2 linked regions of the Tribolium castaneum genome follow. The protein of the gene in region 1 purifies or fractionates together with the protein of each later gene. This does not show direct contact. Links are inferred from orthologs where the notes say so. Each region holds a gene or a part of one and is shown on either strand. Other genes may lie near its edges. The genes, in order: Ctr1A and Usp32.

Region 1 (4,472 bases):
CTCAGCATCGTTGGTCTGTAAGAATTACAAAATTAATTGGACTTGATTAAATCACTAAATAAGATTAATCGGTCAAGGAATTGCCAAATGTTAAAAGTTAATAAAGGGTCGGTTATTTGTAGGAAAAATAAAACGAGTGAAAGAAAAAGCAAAAACAAAGTTATTGTGCTGCGTTCTACGTTAGGTGCGTTTCCATACTAATTTTTGACTTACGGTTGTTTATGGATGACTTCTCCCACCATACTAGAATTAGTCAAAAAATCAGATTTAATTAATTAATGTAAATAATATAAAAAACATTTTTAAGACGCTTTCATGCAATTAAAACCAGTGTTACATAAAAATTTCGTAACAAAAAAAACTATCGCTTAGATTGAAGAATTTGAAATGAATATGTCTGCTGATAATGTTCACGTAGCCAATTTGTTTAATAAACTTTGATCTAGCATTGAATCATTTTAGTTCAAGCGAAATAAATCTTTACACCAAAAATCTGTTGTGACAATTGATTGAATTTTTAAACTTACTGGACAATCTGGTTGTCTTCCGACACGACCCCCTTTTCTGGAAGCGTAACGGCCCTGTATTGTAGCGCGTTGTAGGTTTTCCAAAACAGGTATTCCCTAAAATGATCCAAAAAAGCATAAGCGACTCCAAAAAATCGCCTTTCACCTGTAGTATTTCAAGCCTTCGTAAAGAGCTGCCATGAAGAAAATCCCAATCATAGAACCGATCAAACCACCAATGGTTGAGAATTTCCATTGGTCAAAAAGCACAGTTTCATTATAGCCAGTGTGAAACTAGAAAAAATCATTTTGGAAAAAATTCATTAAGAAAATAATTTGCCTACGGCCATGGACATCATATGGCTCATCATATCATGTTTCGGCATGGTTGTGCCGCCCATATCGTGGCCCATATGACCCATCCCTTGATGCATGTTGTGGTCCAGCGGTTCGTGCATGTCGTGGTTGTGGTGTTCCATTTCTGAAAATATTTTACATGGACACTGTGATAATTTGTGTCATTTTATTTAACCACCAAATTGCTAAAATAAATAAAATGACTGACCTACGTTTAAAGTAAAAGAAATCGTTGTTGTCCGCTTACTACAAGGAACTGAACTGGTCTAACTTTCATTAATACGGTTACGGTTAGTCAAATAAAAAGTATTCTCGATTATTATCGTCCACCGATAGATTTGTGTGGAGGGAAGTTATCACTCACAAACGGAAATAACAATGTTACGCTCAGAAAATTGTACCCAAAAAGGATGCGACGATCAAAAACCGAAAAAACGATATTTTATCGGTGGCACTACTTTTATCTACTGTCTACTGTGAAAACAATGAAAATTTGTTTGTCATTATTATCTTTGTTTCCAATACCGATGATGAAATATCAACAGCAATTTTTTTTTTCACGAAAATATATTTTGAAATAAAGGTGACCGATAAAAATACACAAAAATTGCATTTTTCTTAAATGGCAACGTCCTGAAAACATTTCATTTGCTTACTTCATGTAAAATAAAGTACAGTCAATTGCTGAGGTCGCTGAATTCATGAGATACCCAATTACCAATTCAGAATAGTCGCAACTGTTTTGCTATTCAAAGAATTTGGAATGTTTAAAGTCTGAAATTTTAGCGGCACAAACGTCATCATGATAATAGTACAGATTGGAATTTCCGGCCTATTATTGTGTTGAAGTAGTACCACCTTTGCTATTAATTAAACCCCTACAACTGAATTTTGGTTTTTATTTAGTCACTTTCAAGGGTCTACTTTTGTAAATTGTTTACTACTGATATCGACCGCATCAGCACGTAAAATCCTCTGTGGTTTCCTGTGGTCAAAATAAGCCGAAAACAAGTAAAGGACGTAAAATCCCAAAAGTTTGGTTGCTATGATCGCAAATTTGTATCTTCAGACCACGGTCTATTCATTTTATTGAAGAACTTGTTGCACACGGCTGATTTTCGCCTTGCACACGGCACCATACAAGTAGCTTTTCTTCAAAATTCGACTTTAAGTACGCTTATAGAAAGGTACTTATCGTGATAGTCTTACATTTTGCACACGATTCTATAGCTTCGAACCGTGTGCAAAATAAGTACTGCTTGGTCACGTAACTTGTATTTGGCAACAGTTCCAGTTGTTATCAGTTGATGTGAATTTGTATTCGATTATTGGCGGTGATGTGATAAAAACAGGACAAGGCTTCAAGGAGCTACGAATGTGTTAACAGAATAAAGCTCATCAAAATTAAAATCGAATTAATTGGGTTGTGATTACTGACACATTATTTAAATTTAATTTTATTAAATTAGCCTAAATAAAGAATGGTTGGCCCAGCTGTTAGATAATTGCTAAGCCCGACACAAAAAAATTAAAGAAAATCGAGTGGCTAGAAGTTGGGCCAGCAATAAAAATCTAATATTCGTATTTGTTTATCAATTAGCCAATTAAATTATGGTCCTAATTGTTCAACAACAATACAAGCTGTAAAATGTTTTTATCGGGAATGAAACACACTTTAAACTCGCTTGTTATCTCATACTTCCGCAATGACTGTACTTTGATTAGAAAGTGATTTACATTTATTTTTTATTAATTTAATTACACCAAAAATGAAAACATATGTTACAGGAACATACCTCTGTTTTGAGAACAATACCTTGCAAATTTTTCTAAACCTTCAACGCCTCAGGTGTCTTGTTCTACGAACTTACGTAATTAACAACAAACGTAATTCGCTATTCGAAATAGGAATTCAGTAAAAGTAGTACTAACCTTAGACTTGTCCTTATTCGCAAAATTCCAGCTAAGGCCGAACCACTGTCCAATGTGAATGAAAATTGGCGGTGAAAGCTCAACTACTCCAGTTTTAAACAAATAACAATTCTTGTACCTTTCACTTTGAACTTAGAATAAGGAGACACAATAGGTTATGTCGGAAAATTGTAATAAAAGGGATTGCAACTAATGGTCACTTATTTAACAAAAATAAGGATGCTGATTTGAGCAAAATGTATCGTTAAAGCATTTTGAAGACTTAATTAAATGTTTAAATAATTGTTGTGCAACTTCAAAATTTGACAAATGACAGAATCAACTGGGACAACAGCGCTACCAACCCTTCGAAAAAAATGAGGTTAAGTTAAACAAAAAATTCTTGAAATAAATATTTTTTATTTAGAATTATGTACAGCTTTGTAGCACTAAGAGCTAGGTAAATATTTTAAATAAACTACACCGTGGCATTGGGGTTTATTACGTCGACTGGCGAATTCCTTTCTTGCGAGATGTCCATTTCGATTTCATCCTCTTCTTCCTCATCGTGACTCTCGGACTCGTCATCGTCATCGTTATCGTCTTCGTCCTCCTCATCATCGTCCTCATCCAAATTCTGTGGCTAAAATAAGAAACAAGACCAAACAACGCGCTCGTCCCTTACCTCGCAAACCGTTTTACCAATGGGGGCTAAATCACTGTCACGTTGCGATATGGATTGTAGCTACAAGAATTAAATCAAAATTTGTGGAAAATTAGTAACTTTGGGGTACCCAAGCTTGGTGTTGTGCCTCTAATTGCGACACTTCCTCTTCATCGTCGCAAGGCTGATCAACGTCAAACCACAACGGATCGATCAATTTTGGTTTTAGTTTGGGAAATAACGGTATACTCATATCGCAAGGGGGCGAAAAAATTACAGACAATTTTTCAAACTGTCACTATTTTGTCACTACCACTACCAAATTTAGGGTCATAATTTTCCTAAGAAAATAAGCAGTCATAAAATTCATACTGATCGAACCGGTGAAATTGAAATTGAACCAATTCCCGTTAAATAAAGGAATTACCAGCAATAGCGCACTTGTCTAAATAATTTCATAAGATCTTTTTTCATTTTTGGTGTTGTCTTCACCGACATCAATATCGCCAACATGACGTTTTCACTTTCCCTAGAATGTGGTCGAGTTAGCTAGGTTAAATTTGTTTTTCAAATGAGATGGTTAAAAAAACTGGGGAAAATATGGAAAATCACAGTATTAAGAATGAATTGGTTACTTGTTTCGAAAAATGCGCTTTCAAGCAAGGACAATCGTTCCGTGCCCGAGTTACGCAAATCTACGACCCTTCCAAGTTTTGGATGGTTGTAAAATACCGCGAACTTGAAGTGTTTCAAAAGTGTATCTTCAAGTATTATTACATGAATCGGAAGAAATATCAAATACCAAAAGACAAACTTGTGATGGACTTGTACTGTGCTGTTTTTACTGATGGTGGTTTCTATCGAGGTGTGATTACTGGCTTTCCTGCCACTCACCAGAAGGACCAACAGGCCCAAATTTACTTCATTGATTACGGCATAGTGAAAGTTGTGGAAATGAATGACATTTATTTTTTGAGTGATAAATTTTGTCAAGTGCCTCATTTTGCCGTGAGGGCATCGCTTGCAGGTGTATG
Region 2 (4,525 bases), on another chromosome or scaffold:
ACAAGTGAATTATTTTCAAAATTGCAAAAAAAAATTTAATTAAATTTTCCAAGGTAAAAAAATCAAAAAAAATAATAGAAAGGTAATACTTTTGTATTTGCAGAAAAAATATATTACTACTTTTTTTGTTTCACATTTTTTGAATTTCTTTTGAAAGTTAATTATTTTCAACAAAAACTCATAATTTTTCCAATCAACTTCAACACAGAGCGAGTGATTTATTTTTATTGTTAGCATTGTTATTATTGTGATATGACAATAGACACTAGTGGAATTTTTTGTCTTCTGTTTTCTATGAAACCGTTACATCTTATCTATCCTAATAGATAAAATGTAGATAACAGATTAATACAACATAGAAAATTATACTTTTATTTTTTTCGAATTATTAAATTACAATTTTAAACATACAAAAATAATTTTTTATTTCCGTTTCACAATTTCTCAATTTTGCTGACAAAAAGGACTTACAAATATTTGCAATGTTCTCTTTCATTTTTTTATAAAACACTGTTATTCACAATAAAAAAGTTGTTTGAAATAAGGGTATAAAAAAATTTCTCTCATAACTTAAAAGTTTTGAGCTACGAATAATTTTTCTTATGACATAGAAATCATTTGGCAAACTAGCAAATACGATAATAAACGTTGGAAACAACCTATAATACGTAAATAATAGAAATTAAATTGCTTGGAAAAAAATTTATTTTTATGCTTAGCTGCTGAACGTCTTTTCTCATCACTCGAAAGTTGGTAGTAACTTTTAAAGCACCCTGTATGTATTTTTCCAATTGTTGTTAAAGACCTTGTAGCCATCAATTCAAGAATAAATTCTGTTTATTCCTGTAATAGATGTGAGAAAAAAATAAAGATTAATGTCACCAGTCACAAGGTTCTTCCATTAAATTATAATTTAATAATTTCTATACTAAACGACCAAAAATAAATTCCCACCTTCAGTAATTATCATGTATAGAGGTATATTTTATTATAATTGCACACTGATGATAAAAAAACATAAAATTTCGGTTATGTAATGCATTTATTTAAAAATTTTAAAAATTCTAAAATCAGCAATTTTAAACATAAATACTACAAAATGATTTTTCTATTCTTCTTATGTGTTTTTTTCCTCTCTATAATTTTGTTAAATAGAATTAGATATTTTTTTTTTATTATTATATTGTTTATTTTTATTTTTTGTTATTTCTCATTTATTGTCTGGGTCAAAACCTTGATCAGCTTTGCTGCCTTTTGGTCCAATTTGTAGTAGAAACCAAGTTGTAGAAAATTTTAATTTTATTATCGTATTTTTTTTCTTGATGTAATTAATTGTATTGTAACTGTTTTACTGCCACAAATAAATTATTATTATTATTTGAGAGATAAAAATTAACGAAAAATTTTATTTTGGCATTTCTACTCATGATTATTAATGTTATAAATACAGAAATATAAAAAGAAAATGAATTCACTTTCGGTCCAATTTCCAATCCTTAATAACTCATGTACATGATGTAGATTATAAAGTATGCCGGGAATGGATAAAAAATGAACCTTTTTACCTTTAATTACCCCACAAATACCAATTCCAAAGTTCAACAACACTAATTTTAGTGTAATAATGGAAAGACAAATATTTTTGTTCGATTAAACCTTCACACAAGTAATAAAATATTAGTTCCATGATTAGCTATTTACTTAAAAACAATCCCATCAAGTAGGTATAAATCGTTAAAACAATAAAGTAATATATTTCAAGTAGATTAAAAAGTGTCCACTTATCAAGTAGCTATTTTAAGCTCGTCGCGTTAAAAAAAATACAACGGAATAGATTCAATTTTACAAAAATAGGTAACTAAATAAACGACTCGTGGTGATAATAAACAAATGTCAATATTCTTTATCATTACCACATGTTTATTTCATTGGGAAAATTGTTTACGACACGGAAAAAACTATTCGTGGAAACCACACAATAAAAAACCTTTACATTATCTTAAGACCATCGAATTAATAAGAATTTAATTTATCTAATCAAAGGACTAAACTACCGTTCCCCCCCTGACACCAAATTAATTTTTTATCTAATCACCAATGATTTTTATTAATAATCTTTTGTCATTAAACTTGACTTTGTTACAAAAATAGTTATCACCAATGAATGGACGCGCCCTTGAATTGCCATCCCCGACTCACCACTTGGACAAGATCGTCGCCTCCTTGTTGTACTGTATCCAAGCACTGAAATGCTCATAGGTCACTCGATCCTGTCCCACGGGGAACAGCGAGAGCATCGTCCTCTCCCACAGGATGTTGGGCCTGTTGGGCTTATCGGGCGGCAGCGTGCCCTCGGTTTGCAAGGCGCTGTAGAACTCGCTCCTGGTGATATGCGTTCCCGAATCGTTGCAATACAGCGTGAACAGGAAGCGAATTTTCTCGTCCTGCTTGCCCTTGGTGAGCAGCACCAGGCCGCAGACGAGGTCCTTGAGGGCGATGCCGCGCGGCGTGCCGCCGCAGGCGAGGTACAGCCACTCGGCGATCGCCTGGGGCACCCCATCGCCCAGCACGTGCAGGATGAAGCTCTGCTTGCTCAGGAGCTGGTTGCCGCCGCTCAGCCGCTTGAACGCCTCGCATATCCGCTTGTATTCCTCCTCAGACACTGGAATTGGATAATTGGGGGGAATTTCGGGTTAGGCATTAATTAGCAATTAGTTAACAACAATAATATTTACGTAGTTATGTCACATGATGTAATGACAGGTGAGGGGTTTGGGTGCAGGGTTTGATACCTACTTCGCTTGACGGCATCCTCGTAGGGCAAGCACGACCGTTTCGAGTCCTTTGCTCCCATTTTCACAATTTCACGCAGTCTTCTAACATTTTACGAGGGTTTTCAACGCACGACACTCACAACGACTGACTGCTCGGCTGACATTTCCTGGGGATTTTCGGCCCGCGAGGTTGGTCTTCGCCACACTCACCAAGCCCTAATAACTTATTTAAAACGATTATTATTGGATTTTTTCAAGTTTTGGCGCTTTTTGGGCGTTTTTGCGATAACGGGGGCCGTTTTTGCGTGGTTTTTATGTGCGGTTTGGTGGTTTTGGTGACTTTGGCGAGCATCGCCGAGCTCAGCCGATAACTAATCAATGAAGGTGTGTGTCTAAACAATCAGATTTTGTCAAAAAACGGTCCTTGAGCGAATTTATTGAAATTCCTGTAAATTGGCCAGGTTTTCGGGATGGTTAGCACCTAAGGTTGAGACTGGACTGGCGGCCATTTTGCGAACCAGATGATGTCTTTGCCGAGCAGCATGGGGCCGTCGAAGCTCAAAAAGAAACACTTCAGGGTGAAGCACCAGAAAGTCAAGCTTTTTAGGGCGAACGAGCCGTTTCTGTCGGTCTTCATGTGGGGGATTAACCACACGGTGGGTATGTGCGAGGGTTTTGGGGCAAGTTTCAGGGTTTGTTGTAGATTAATGAACTGATGCATGTCACCATCCCTGTCATGCTTCTGCCAGACGATTTTCGGGCCTATTCCAAAATCAAAGTTGATAATCATCTGTTCAATAAGTATAGAATGGTAGAGAATTGGGGGAAAAATTGGTGATAATGGTTTTTTTAGAGAGAATATGTCCTCGCATTTTAAGGTTAAGGAATACTGTCCTTTGGTGTTTAGGAATATCAGGGAGAGGTTTGGAATTGATGATTTAGACTATAAGGAATCTCTGACTAGGTGAGTTGGCTGTAATTGCAAAAAAGTGCAATGAAAGTTGGCTGTGATAAGTGAATTATCGATAATTCTGATAAGTTTGATTTCGAGAAAAACCAACTAGATTTCATTATTGGGTGGTAATTGAGTTGTTCACTAGGTTCTTAGGTCATATTTATTTTTCCCAAGTGTTTGATAACTACAGGTACAATTAATTACAAAATAAATGCCATTGTACAGGAATGATGTTGAGATAAAGACAGTAATCTTAATTTAAATAGGCAACCAGTTATACAAGCTACAATTTCCCAAATCTTTTTTTTAACATTTCTCGAATTATCTTGGGATCAAAATATTTGTATGGAATCAAACAAATAAAATATTAATCTCGAGTGATTTTTTAAATTTTTGGGTGTTATTACAAGATCTGGCAATAAATGAGTGTCTGGTTTAAAAATGGGCCAATTTTTTGAGCAGTTTTAGTAATTTTTTTTCAAAAAAATTGTTTTAAGGCTTTAAAAATTTGCGGAAAAACTCATGTAAAAAGCAAAAATATTGTTATTTCTGACAGTATTTAATTCTTCTTCTCAAAAGAAAGCGTCTATTTTGAAGTGATTTTTTGGTTTAGTTTAAAAATAAACGTATATTAAGATGCTCGAAAAATGCAATAAATGAGTATCTGGTTCAAAAATGGGACAATTTTCCGAGCAGTTTTAGTATTTTTTTTCTAAAAAAATTGTTTTTACTTTAGAAACTTGCTGATATGCTTAAAAAAGAGGCAAAAATAAATACTTGTTTGACTTGATCTTAT

Evidence for each region.
Region 2: the proteins of Ctr1A (region 1) and Usp32 purify together in Homo sapiens (co-immunoprecipitation; 3 studies listed by BioGRID and IntAct, with this or other methods). This does not show direct contact. The link is inferred for Tribolium castaneum from reciprocal best matches to the Homo sapiens genes SLC31A1 and USP32.

What each region holds. Positions count from the first base shown.
Region 1 is NC_087397.1:10,500,327-10,504,798, reverse strand, and holds the start of Ctr1A (high affinity copper uptake protein 1), read right to left. Parts: upstream 3,062-4,472; 5' UTR 2,796-3,061; intron 2,729-2,795; exon of another isoform or gene 2,660-2,728; intron 1,412-2,659; exon of another isoform or gene 1,072-1,411; intron 1,010-1,071; exon of another isoform or gene 988-1,009; 5' UTR 986-987; coding exon 851-985; intron 801-850; coding exon 673-800; intron 624-672; coding exon 528-623; intron 244-527; coding exon 214-243; intron 16-213; coding exon 1-15. Other genes in the region: anaphase-promoting complex subunit 15, read right to left, coding at 3,253-3,411, 3,460-3,519, 3,569-3,691.
Region 2 is NC_087401.1:13,771,364-13,775,888, reverse strand, and holds the start of Usp32 (ubiquitin carboxyl-terminal hydrolase 32), read right to left. Parts: upstream 2,992-4,525; 5' UTR 2,855-2,991; coding exon 2,797-2,854; intron 2,663-2,796; coding exon 2,200-2,662; intron 1-2,199. Other genes in the region: PIP4K (phosphatidylinositol 5-phosphate 4-kinase type-2 alpha), read left to right, coding at 3,296-3,430, 3,478-3,575, 3,628-3,738. UniProt on the Homo sapiens protein: Deubiquitinase that can remove conjugated ubiquitin from target proteins, such as RAB7A and LAMTOR1.